Canis lupus familiaris: one gene and its partners. The protein of the gene in region 1 purifies or fractionates together with the protein of each later gene. This does not show direct contact. Links are inferred from orthologs where the notes say so. Each region holds a gene or a part of one and is shown in the gene's direction. Other genes may lie near its edges.

The links. Proteins that work in one complex are often made in the same cells at the same time.
Region 2: the proteins of ARPC1A (region 1) and ACTR3 purify together in Homo sapiens (affinity purification with mass spectrometry; 7 studies listed by BioGRID and IntAct, counting the BioPlex papers as one, with this or other methods). This does not show direct contact. The link is inferred for Canis lupus familiaris from reciprocal best matches to the Homo sapiens genes ARPC1A and ACTR3.
Region 3: the proteins of ARPC1A (region 1) and ARPC4 fractionate together in Homo sapiens (co-fractionation; 7 studies listed by BioGRID and IntAct, with this or other methods). This does not show direct contact. The link is inferred for Canis lupus familiaris from reciprocal best matches to the Homo sapiens genes ARPC1A and ARPC4.

The regions. Positions count from the first base shown.
Region 1 is NC_049227.1:10,303,564-10,307,063, reverse strand, and holds part of ARPC1A (actin-related protein 2/3 complex subunit 1A), read left to right. Parts: intron 1-1,719; coding exon 1,720-1,827; intron 1,828-3,500. UniProt on the Homo sapiens protein: Probably functions as a component of the Arp2/3 complex which is involved in regulation of actin polymerization and together with an activating nucleation-promoting factor (NPF) mediates the formation of branched actin networks.
Region 2 is NC_049240.1:36,616,670-36,620,605, reverse strand, and holds the start of ACTR3 (actin-related protein 3), read left to right. Parts: upstream 1-1,136; 5' UTR 1,137-1,461; coding exon 1,462-1,505; intron 1,506-3,936. UniProt on the Homo sapiens protein: ATP-binding component of the Arp2/3 complex, a multiprotein complex that mediates actin polymerization upon stimulation by nucleation-promoting factor (NPF).
Region 3 is NC_049241.1:8,520,228-8,524,384, reverse strand, and holds the start of ARPC4 (actin-related protein 2/3 complex subunit 4), read left to right. Parts: upstream 1-1,357; 5' UTR 1,358-1,512; coding exon 1,513-1,515; intron 1,516-4,157. UniProt on the Homo sapiens protein: Actin-binding component of the Arp2/3 complex, a multiprotein complex that mediates actin polymerization upon stimulation by nucleation-promoting factor (NPF).

The DNA.
Region 1 (3,500 bases):
CTGCTCCTATTAAAAAAAAAAAAAGGATCTATCTGCTTTTGGCTCAGGTTATGATGCTGGGGGTCCTGGAATCAACCCCCATATAGGACTCCCAGCTCCATGCAAAGCCTCCTTTTCCCTCTGCTGCTCCCCACCCCCCGCTTGTGTACTCTCTGTCAAATAAATAAAATCTAAAAAAAAAAATAAATAAAAACCTTTAAAGTAACTACGTTATAAGCAAGTCAGAATATTATCTATTTTTCAAAAGGAAATTTTTTAGGTTCCTAAGAGAAAGTTTGTGAAAAAGTAATTTGACATTTAAGGATGGGTATTTGGCTTGATATTACAGCTCCTTGGCTTTTTTTTTTTTTTTAAGGTTTGTTTTTTTGTTTGTTTTTTGTTTTGGGGGGGTTGTTTTGTTTTGTTTTGTTTTGTTTTTGAGAGCACAAGAAGGGGGGCAGAAGGAAAGGGAGAAGCAGACTTCCTATTGAGCAGGGAACCAATGTGGGGCTCGATCCTAGGACCCTGGGATCACAACTCGAGCCAAAGGCAGATGCTTAACCAGCTGAACACCCAGTTGCCCCAGTCTCTCAGCTCCTAAACAGCAGAACATGATTGATTTTTAAACAGCAATTTAGGGGTAGAAACTGAATTAGTGAAGCCAGAGTAAGGACTGATCTCAGACAGAAAAAAAAAACTTTTTTTTTTTTTTTTAAGATTTTACTTATTTATTCATGAGAGACACAGGGAAGAGGGAAAGCAGAGGGAGAAGCAGGCTGAATGCAGGGACCCCGATGTGGGATTCCATCCCGGAACTCCAGGATCATGTTCTGGGCCAAAGGCAGGCACTAAGCCACTGAGCCACCCAGGGATCCCCAGAAAAAAAACTTTCAAGTGGAGCTAGAGTATCAGTTAGAACCTCCCATAAGAGGTTGTGATTTTCTCGGTTGTGATTTCTCTGTGAAAATAGTAATTCACAGCTTCACAGAGACGTAGTAAGGAAATTGAGCTATTTTACAAGCCAGACTTAACCCAAAGTGAAATCACAGGTCGCTGCATCTTTATTAAAAAAAAAATCTGCTGAGTGAAGTAAGTCAGTCGGAGAAGGACAAACATTATATGTTCTCATTCATTTGGGGAATATAAATAATAGTGAAAGGGAATATAAGGGAAGGGAGAAGAAATGTGTGGGAAATATCAGAAAGGGAGACAGAACGTAAAGACTGCTAACTCTGGGAAACGAACTAGGGGTGGTAGAAGGGAAGGAGGGTGGGGGGTGGGAGTGAATGGGTGACGGGCACTGGGGGTTATTCTGTATGTTAGTAAATTGAACACCAATAAAAAATAAATTTAAAAAAATTTAAAAAATAAATAAATAAATAAATAAAGGCTTTTCAGCGTTCCAAAAAAAAAATCTAAGTCATTTCAAACCACGTATTGTATTTTAAAAGTTAAAGTAACATGTAATCTGAAACTCCACAGGCAGTATCCAGAGTTAATCCATAAATATAGTTACTCCTGGGGATCCCCTGGTTGCCAGGAAAGTTCAGAATGGACTGCTGTGATAAGAATGTCAAAGCCTAAAAGAACAGAAAGGACTATTTATGGCTCCTCTTCCTCTATGCCTTCCTCTCTGGAGAAGACCTGGTTGCCACATGTGTATCACCTAGCACACCTTTGTTAGGCCCTTTGGTAGGCTTGAGGTGTGGATAAACTGAAATGGATGTTCTTCTTTTGTAGGTGGGTAAGCAAGCACATTAAAAAGCCGATTCGCTCCACGGTCCTCAGCTTGGATTGGCATCCCAACAATGTTTTGCTGGCAGCAGGATCGTGTGATTTCAAATGCAGGTGGGAGCAGATGAGAATTGGCAAACAGAATTGATCTGTTCCTTGTTCATCTTTCAAGTATTTTTCAGGTTCCTTTTCCTTGCAAGGTACTGTGTTAGGCACTGTTAGGGACTCAGAAGTGAAAGGAGCTTGGGATCTAAGAAAGCAAACACAGATATCACAGAGAAGGAAGGAAGTGGACTGGGAGGTATAGTAGGAGGGAGCTGTGAGGGTGGGGCCGGGGAAATTTTCTTTACGCAGAATATCCTGCTTGGAGCAGAGGTATAGAAGCCCTCAGACTATGATATTATTTCTCATTTCATAACCCAGGCAGAGATTTGGCAAATTCCTGGCTGAAGCTAAGATGAACAAAACATAGCTGAACAATGCTGTGCTGAACTATTTGCTGTTCTTTTTTTTTTTTTAAGATTTTATTTATTTATTCATGAGAGAGAGAGAGAGAGAGGCAGAGGGAGAAACAGGCTCCATGCAGGGAGCCCAACATGGGACTTGATCCCAGGTCTCCAGAATCACAACCTGGGCTGAAGTCAGCGCTAAACCGCTGAGCCACCTGGGCTGCCCTGCTGTTCCTTTTCAGTTCAAGTTTTTTATTTGTTGTTAGCGTGAAGCTAGAAGAAACACAGCCACTTTGCTAAGAGCTGTAAGGCTCATACAGTGTAATTGCTTTTTAAAGCTATTTTTTGCCAAGAAGGCTTTTTTTCCCCTTAGCCAAAAGAAAAGCAAATAAATGTTACTTCACATTGACAACACGGTGGGTTGGGAAATGGGATGTATCTTTCTTTAGTAGGCTATGTGGAGAATTTCCAGAAAACATGGCTTGTGATTTATTATATCCAACAATATCCAAGGATTTGGTGGTTTGTTTGTTTGTTTGTTTTAAAGATGTGTGTGGAGGGGATCCCTGGGTGGCTCAGCAGTTTAGCGCCTGCCTTTGGCCCAGAGTATGATCCTAGAGTCTCAGGATCGAGTCCCACATTAGGCTCCCTACATGGAGCCTGCTTTGCCCTCTGCCTCTGTCTCTGCCTCTCTCTCTGTCTCTCATGAATAAATAAATCAAATCTTAAAAAAAAAAAAACAATGTGTGTGGAAATTTGGCTGTGGAATGGGGATACATCTGGAAAAAGATTGGTTTTTCTATGTAAGAACCAGTGTAACAGCATCATCTGGTAGAATTCAGGAGTTTTGTTGTCTATGATGTGTTACCCAGTCATTCTAGCTCCCTTAAAAGTTGGAATTGAATGATCCATACACTTAGATTATTGGACTGTGTCTAAAAAATCTGGTTCTGAAAATGGGTTGCCAATTCTTTTGATAATATTAATTTCCAGAAATAAACTTTGATTTGTGGTCCTTTGGGTAAGAGTTCGGTTTTTGACTGAGAACCACCCAGCCTCTGATGACTAGAGCCGTGGCTTTTGTGATGCTGATTTAAACCCCAGTGATTCTCATACTCATAAATAGAGAGGATAAACTGATGGTTGCCAGAGAAGGAAGGTGAGGGGATGGGCAAAACAGGTAAAGAGGAGTGGGAGGTAGAGGCTTCCAGTTATGGAGTAGTCACAAGGAGGACCGGGAACATGGTCAAGGGTGTTGTACAGTGACATATGGTAGCTATACTTGCAGGAAGCATGGCATAGGGTATAGAGAAGTTGGGTCACTATGTCGTACACCTG
Region 2 (3,936 bases), on another chromosome or scaffold:
GGCAGCAGGATCCCTGCCATAATGGAGGATGTGAGCGATACTTAACATGTCAAACGGATGAAAAACCCACTTTCCATCCCACTGCCCAGTCTAACAACTTACCATTGTGCATAAGACATCCTTTCTTAGGGAAAATATTTTTATTTCAGCCATATAAGCAAATGGAAGATTTATCAGAAGACAAGCCTGGTGGAAAGCTGTTAAACTTCTAGGTTCCCCAGGTGGGGTCCCAGACCATCACCTGAGAACGTCTTGGAAATGCAAGTTACCAGGCCCTTCTCCTACACAAAAACTCTGCGGATGCGGCCCAGCAATCAAGGTTTTTTTTTGTGTGTTTTGTTTTTAGCAATCAAGGTTTTAACGAGCATTCTCGGTAATTCTGATGCACACTTAAATTTGAAAACCATTGTTCTAGGCTGTCCAGTATGTGACCTTTTTCCCCCTTATTATTATCATTATTTTCGCTCCTTGATCATCGGCATAATCCTGCCGGCAAAACAGCAGAATCTTAAACTGCTGAGGGCATCTTTGTCATCATTCGAAAGCGGCGAATAACCGACTATCCGCGCAGAGTGCGTGATGTGGAAGGTGCTCCCGGGGGGGGTGTGTTCCTCGCGGGGACAGGCCTGCCCCCGGGCGTCTGCGACCCAGACAATGTCCCCACGCACAGGTGCAAAAGCCTAGAAACCGGCAGGAAGGCGGAGCAGCCGGCTGCAAGCCTTTGTTCGCCCCAACCCTCCCGACCGCTCGCCCTCCGTCTGCCCGCGCGCTCCTCCACCCAGAAAAGCAGCGTCTCCAAGCGACGAGAATGTGTCGTGCCGCTCAGGACGTTTTCTACTGGGCCAGTCTTCCCCGGGGCCCCGGAGAAGACGCGGGGGGCTGCGGGGGGCTGCGGGGGCAGGCGCCGGGCGGCGAGCGCAGGAGGCACGGACGCCGCGGCGCTCCCGCAGCTCCAGGAGCCCCGGGCGCTCGCCCCGCCCCGCCCCGCCCCTCCCGTCCGGGAAAGCCCGGAGCGGACTCCGCTCACGTCGGGACGGGCGCCGCGGCCGGCGGGGCCACGTCACTGCGCATGCTCCCTCGCCCCTCCCGCTCGGAGCCGGAAGGGGGAGCGCGGGCGGCCTGGGCCTGGCCTGGCCGGGGCGGCGGCGCCGGCGGCCATCTTGGCTTCCCGGGGCCAGGCGGCGCGGGGGGAAGAAGTTGTAGGGTGGGGGCCGGAGGGAGGAGGAGGGGAGAGAGAGGGGGAGGAGGCCGCGGCGGGGCAGGGCGGGGACTGCCTGCCCGCCCGGGTTGCGGAAGTGGTAGCCGCTGGCCGAGCCTGCTGCTTGCTCGCTGCTGCCTCGGCTTCCCGGCTCCCCCCGGACGGAGAGGCCGGCCCGGCTGTGGATGGTCAGATAGCTCCGGCCCCAATCCGCACGGAGCAGACGGCGGCGGCGGCGGCGGCGGCGGCAGGCGAGGAGGAAGATGGCGGGACGGCTGCCGGCCTGTGTGGTGGACTGTGGCACGGGGTAAGGAGGGTGGGGAAACTGAGGCGGAGCTGGGAAGATGGCGGCGAGGGTGCGGGCGCGGGGATGCGCCGCGGCGGGGTGCGGCCGCCGGGCGTCGGGCTGCCGGGGGTGGGGCGCGGGGCCGGGGCCGCGGTGCGGCCGGGCGTCACCCGCGGGGGCGGGGGCGGGGGCGGGGGTCCCGGCGGGGTCCCCCCGGAGGTGCCCCCGGAGCCGCGGGCGGGTGGGCGCTGCGGGGCCCGGCGCTCAGCCTCCGGCCCCTCGGCTCCTCCTGCTGCCGGCGCGCCGGGGCCGAGCGGACGGGCGGGGGACGCCGGGCGGGTGCTCCGGGTCGCGGGGACCCCGCGCGGCTCGGGCCGAGGGCGGGGAAGGGGGCGCCCGGGCGCCGAACCTGCGAGCCGGGGCCGCGGCTTCCACCGGGCGGGCCGCGCGCCCCTCGTCCGACCCCCGGGCTTCCCCGCCTCCTGCGCTCGCACCGGTGAGCCACGGGCACATTTTAATTTGAGAGAGAAGGATGTCATGTGTTAACTCGTCTTGCCTCGGACAGAAAAAAAAAAAAAAAAAAAAAAGGAAAAAAAAAAAAAGTCCCCTAGTGAGCAAGCGCGCCGCAACTTCCTTAGTTTTCTCAAAGCCGCTTCCTGCTTTCAGCCCTTTATACCCTTATAAGGTAGTTTTTCATTTCCAACCTGAACACCTCGTATTAGAACTTTTAGGATTGAGCATATTTGAAATGGATTGAATTACGGGCCCTCGACATCAGTTTGTAGGGACTTGAACACAGACGTGCGAGTGTTTTCCGGGAAGGGGGGGAGAAGGGAAGCCCCAGGAAAGTCCTTGAGGCCGCGCGCTCGCCGGGGGGGGGTGGGGGGGGTGGGGGGGCCTCGGAGGCTGTGGGGCCGCGGGGTGCGCTTGCTTTTCGGGGGGTTCCAGTGCGCAGGGTCGCGTGTAGACGTGTAGAACGGCGTTGAAGTGTATGAATAGGCGTTTTGGGATTTTGGCACACTGTTGTTTTCATAGGAAATAGTCTGTACTTTAACGTGGAACGACTTGTTTCCCTTGCAGCGCTGGGAGGGTGTGTGTGTCCGTCCTGTGCTGATACATTGTTTCATTCCTAATTCGCAAAATAATACACCGAGGGGGAGTCGGTTATGAGAGGTAGAGTGTCAGCCCTTGCTCCCTGCCTTCTATCATCCAGCAGACCTTCGTTGCATCAAGGATTGTGTATGCCCCTCTTTCCATTTACTCCCCGTAAAACGGCTCTATTTTTTTTTTTAAAGCTCTAATCTTCATACTCACGACTTTGTTAGTGTAACAGTTTCAAAAATCCCAGCCATGCATGTGGAAACAGCCGATTTATTAACATTCTCCTATTCTCCTTTGGAAAATACCAGCCTACTTTTAGCCGTGGAACTTCTAAATGTATTGTTTTGATGGACAGCTTATTAAAGTTATTGTTTTTTTATTTTTATTTTTTGTATATATATATTTTTTTTATTGTTTTTTTTAATCCTAATTTTCTTGACTCAGGTCCCCCCCCCCCCCCCCCCCCCCCCCCCCCGATCCAGTTGAGGAGTAGTTTCATGCTTAGGGTCAGTTTTAAAATTAGATTTGTCCTGAGTGAGAAGGAATTTTCAAGTGTGGGGTGTTTTGTTTTGTTTTTTTAGATTTTATTTATTTATTCATAAGAGATACACAGAGAGGCAGAGACACAGGCAGAGGGAGAAGCATGCTCCATGCAGGGAGCCCGACGTGGGACTCTATCTGGGACCCCAGGATCACGCCCTGCGCTGAAGGCAGGCGCTCAACCACTGAGCCACCCAGGTGTCCCTCAAGTGTGTTTTGTTAAAGTGAGAAATACTGTTATATAATTAATATTTTATGCTTTAGAAATTATTGGGTTAATAAAATTAGTGTGGATAATTGTAGTGCTAATGGTAACTAGAATGTTACTTTTCCCCCATTTTTCCCCTTTTGAAATAAATTCTGGTTATTTTTGAGTTAGTATTCGGGTATTAATCATTGAGGTTGACTGTCCTTAGCTGACCTCCTCCTGCTAGGGCAACCCTGAATTTAAGACAGGCTGAGTGTCCGGGAGGTCCCCAAGGGCTTCAGTCTACATTTAGGATTATTTTTGTTTTAGTATTTCAATTATTACGTTACTATATTTTACCTTATTGCATTAGTTTTACTTCACAAGGTGAGGTGGTTTAATGGGCACTCATGGTTTAAATGGAACTGATTAGGAGTCCCCATTGTCTCCCACCTTTTTTACCATCTGTCAGAGCTCCATTTATTTTGGTCTTCTAAAGGTTTCATGGTCCTTTGTGGTGGCTATCTAATGCAACTCCTGGAAAGTTATACCTGCAGCTTTATTAGCACATAGAGGATGGCTCATTGAGCTTGGGCCTGCGATAAGCATATTTAAGTAAGGCCT
Region 3 (4,157 bases), on another chromosome or scaffold:
TCCATCCAGGGACAGACTCCAGGAGAAAGCCAGGCTTCGGTACCTAACTACAAGATTGATGGCGCGGCTCCTACTCACAGGACACTCGCTGTACATCAAGCCAGGTACAGACACTTTACTGGCTTCTCACTGAATTCCTCACCCAACCCCATGAGCAGGGACAATGGCGACCTACACCTTACAGATACGAAAACTCAGACTCTGTAAGGGTGGGTACCTGCCCACGGTTACCAAGAGGCAATCTGAATCCAGATAGTTTTGAGTCTTTGCCCTGTCTTTCTGATGCTCTTCTGTCCTACTGCTCCCGGGTCTGGCTAAGCCTCTAAGCTCCAAACATCCCATTCTTACAATGCTAATGTTCTCTGTGCCTCCTCGCTTCTTCTCTCACCCCCTCCCGTCGTGGTCCCTTTTCTTGGCCGCTGACAGTGGTTAAGAATATGGGCTGGTAAGCCAGGCAGGCACAGCCTTTACCATTCTCTAGTTATGTAGCTCCAAACGTGTTATTTAGCCTTCCTGAGTCTCGGTTTTTCCATCTACAAAATGGGGACCAAAGAAATCTGGGTCTGTCTCCCCATAAGAAGTCTGAATCTGTAAAATGGGGATCACGATAGTACCTACCTCCCCGGGATGCTCTGAGGATTATGAAAGGATGCTTGTCAAGAGCCCAGTTCAGTGCCTGGCACAGAAGTGCGCCTGTTTAGTGGCTGGCCCCTCCTGCGGGTCGCCCCAGTGACTTGCCTTCGGGGCCCCCGTCCTCTGGGGACCCCCTAACGCGGCCCCCGCCCCCTCTACCTCCTCACTGCAGCCTCCTGCTGCCTCCTACGGCCCCCAGGCCACGGGAGGGGGCGGGGAGTTCCGGTTGGTGGAGCAACCGCCCCGGAACTGGCCAGGGGCGGGCCCCCCGCAGAGGACGCGGGGGTGGGCGACGCGGGCGGGAGCCCACTGCGGCGTGCGGGGAAGGGTGGGCAGGCCGCGGGCGAGCCTACTGCAGGTGGGGGAGGGCTCGGCCTCAGGCCCACTCTGGGGATCGGCCCGAGGCTGGGGGCGGGGCCCGGCAGCCAAGCCCTCCGCCCGGCAGCTCTTCCCGCGGAGCCCCGGGGGCTGCAGGTAGGAGGGGCCCAGAGCGAGGCTAGGGGCGCAGAACCGGAAGGAACGGAGGGCTCCTCCGCCTCGCCTTGTCCTAATATGGTGCCCAACCTGAGGCCGGGCCGCACCACTGCCCGACTACGGGGCACGACGAGAGGAGGGCCAGGGCCGCAAGCCAGAGCTGCGTGGATAACGGCATGAGCTCCCGCATCGATTCGAAAGTTCCGCAGTCTAAAGATGTGAAGACAGTCCTAGCGGGGAGACCTGCCAAGGACCGGGGGCTCCCAGGCTCCCCCTCCCCGCTCGGGCATAGTGGTCCCGTCCGGAAGTCCGGGCGCAGACCGAGGCTGCGCCCCTCGCGGAAGGGCAGGCGTCGCGGGCTGGCCACTTCCGCACTTCCGCTTTCCGGCCCAGCCAGCGCCCGCGATGGTGAGCGAGCCGGGCCCCGCGCCAGGGACCCCCGCTGTTTTGCCTCAAACGCTGTGGGTCTGGGGGCGAGGCGGCTTTGCAGCGGAGAGCCCCGGGGCCGAGGGCTGCTGCGGGGTGTGGGGGCATGATGAGGCTGGGAGGAGAGGGCGGGGCGGGAGCCCAAGTGAGGAAGGGGCGAGCGGGGGGCGCCCCGGGAGGACGCAGGCCTCGCAGGTTCGTGGTTTGTCTTTCGGGCCAGGTGGGGAACTGTGAGGCGTCGACAGGACGCCGGGAGTGGGGCCTGGGAGGTCGGCGGGAGAGCCTTGAAGGCACTCAGTAGGCTTCCTCGCCCGTAGTAGGGCCGGCGTAGCAAGGGCGCCTCACCCAGGGTAGAGCTTTGCTAAATACACTGTCCTGTCCTCTCCTGCCCGCTTGACCCCACAGTTTTCCAAAGGAAGCGTCTCCACTTCCTTATCCCACTCTTCGCTTACTTCCCTGCCTTGCTTCTGCTCCACGGAAGGATTATGCCGCCGCCACCCAGACCTCTTCCTGGTTAGAATTCCACCGTGTTAACCTTAACCATAGTACGAGAGCTCTGTCCTACGGATCCCTCCCTTCCTGGAAATCCTCGCAGCTGATACATGTCGGTCTTCCTGGGAGTCGAGGCTTTGGTTCCCCACCTTCCTCCTCACATTTTCCCTAGTGGTGCCTGTCCATTCCCGGCTTCCATGACCTTGTGTATTCTGGTGGTTCATGAGTCTGCCTTCCTAGCTCTCTTGTAGGGTTTGCCTGGATATCTTGAAGACACCTTCAGATCACACCTTCAGATCGAAAATCATTTTCTCTCAACCAGCTTTCCCCATGTTGCTTATCCTGGCTTTGTGGCATCTTACCTCAGCTAGCAGTCTGGATTTTATTTTATTTTATTATTTTATTTTTTCTTTCTTTCTTTCTCTTTCTTTCTTTCTTTCTTTCTCTAATGGAGGCCATACCTCTTGGATTTTTTTTTTTTTTAAGTCAACTGTATTGAGGTATTACATGAGAATGCATTTATTTTTTCAAAGGGCAGGTGTCATGGGGCTTGCCACCTAAAAGTCACCCTTTTTAAGTTTATCATCTGTGAGTTTTGACAAACACAATCCTGTAACCACTACTACAGTCAGATTAACCATGTTTTCTCAAAAAGCTCCCTTTAGTCCCTCTGTTAATCAGTTGTCTCTCCTCCATTCCAGGCAACTACTGATTTCTTTTTTCCTTCTATAGTTTTGCCTTTTCTATATTGTCATATAAATAGAAGTCTTCAGTATGTAGACCTTTTGATGTGGCTTTTTTTTTTTAAGTTTATTTTTTTAATAATTTCTGCACTCATCAGGTGGGGGGGGACTTGAACCAACGACCCTGAGATTGAGAGTTACAGACTCATTAGACTGAACCAACCAATGTGGCTTCTTAATTAACCATAATGCATTTGAGATTCATCCATGTTGCATGTGTCACTACTCCTTTTTCTTGCTGAATAGGACTTCATCATATGAGTGAGCTACAGTTTATTGAAAGGTGTTTTTTATTCCATTATCCTCTACATTTATGACAGTCCAGCTCTTGTGATACCCTTTGCTTGTCCTCACCACTGCTCCAGGCTCTCCTCACCCTTCCTTGAATAATCCTCTCTGCCTTTTGTCTCATTTCCCTCCGGTCCATTTTCTGCAGAACCACCATGCAACTGGTGAAGCCAGATAACTTCCTCCTCAGAAAGCCCCAACAATTCCTTACTACCTTAAAAGAAAAGCTAAAGTCAGCAGCCTGGCATTTGAGATTACCCATGAATCTCTAGGCTACCATTGCAGCAGCATCTACTCAATCTAAAATGCTTTCTGTATGCAGCAACACTGCTCATCACTACTTCTGGAACTCCTAACATTTTTTTTTTTTTGCAGTATTCTAACCTTGCTTACGGTATTCCACATGATATTGTATAGAAAAGGAGTAAGACATTGCATATGTTAGATACTGAGCTAGGTGCAGGGTATGTTGATTTGAATAAAGAGACATGGTCTGTTAAGCATGAATCTTACAGTCTAGTGAAAAAGAAATCACTGTACTGAAATACGAAGGATGTATTGTTGTAAATTGTAATAAATGCTATGAAGGAGGAAGTCAAGAAAGGCCTCTCTGAGGAAGGAAGGGGCCTTCCCTGAATACACCAAGGTCTAAGGGATGACTTAAGTCAAGAAAGGAAAGAAAGTCCTGTATAGATGAATCAGCATGTGTAAAGCCTTCAGATGAGAAAGAATGTAGATAATACAAGGAACTGAAGATAAGCCAGTGTAGGTAGAAGCTGGTCTGTCTACTGGGAATATCCTTAGTCTACTTTTTCTTATTGTAAAATCCTCCTAATCTTATTTTCATCTTTATTTCCAAACCAATTTCTTCTGGAAATGTAATTTGTAAGTTTGATTATGTCCCGTTTCATTCTCCTTTATATCATATGGTTTTTTTGTTCTCTACCCAGTTGAGCTATTTAGGGGTAGAGATGATCTTTAAAATCTTGACATTTAAATCAGTCCCTTGACATTTAAGTCAGCACACAGACTTATACATTATTGGCTCAAATACAGATTGAGGATAGTCATTCACCTGTATGCCTCTAGACCAGAATTTCT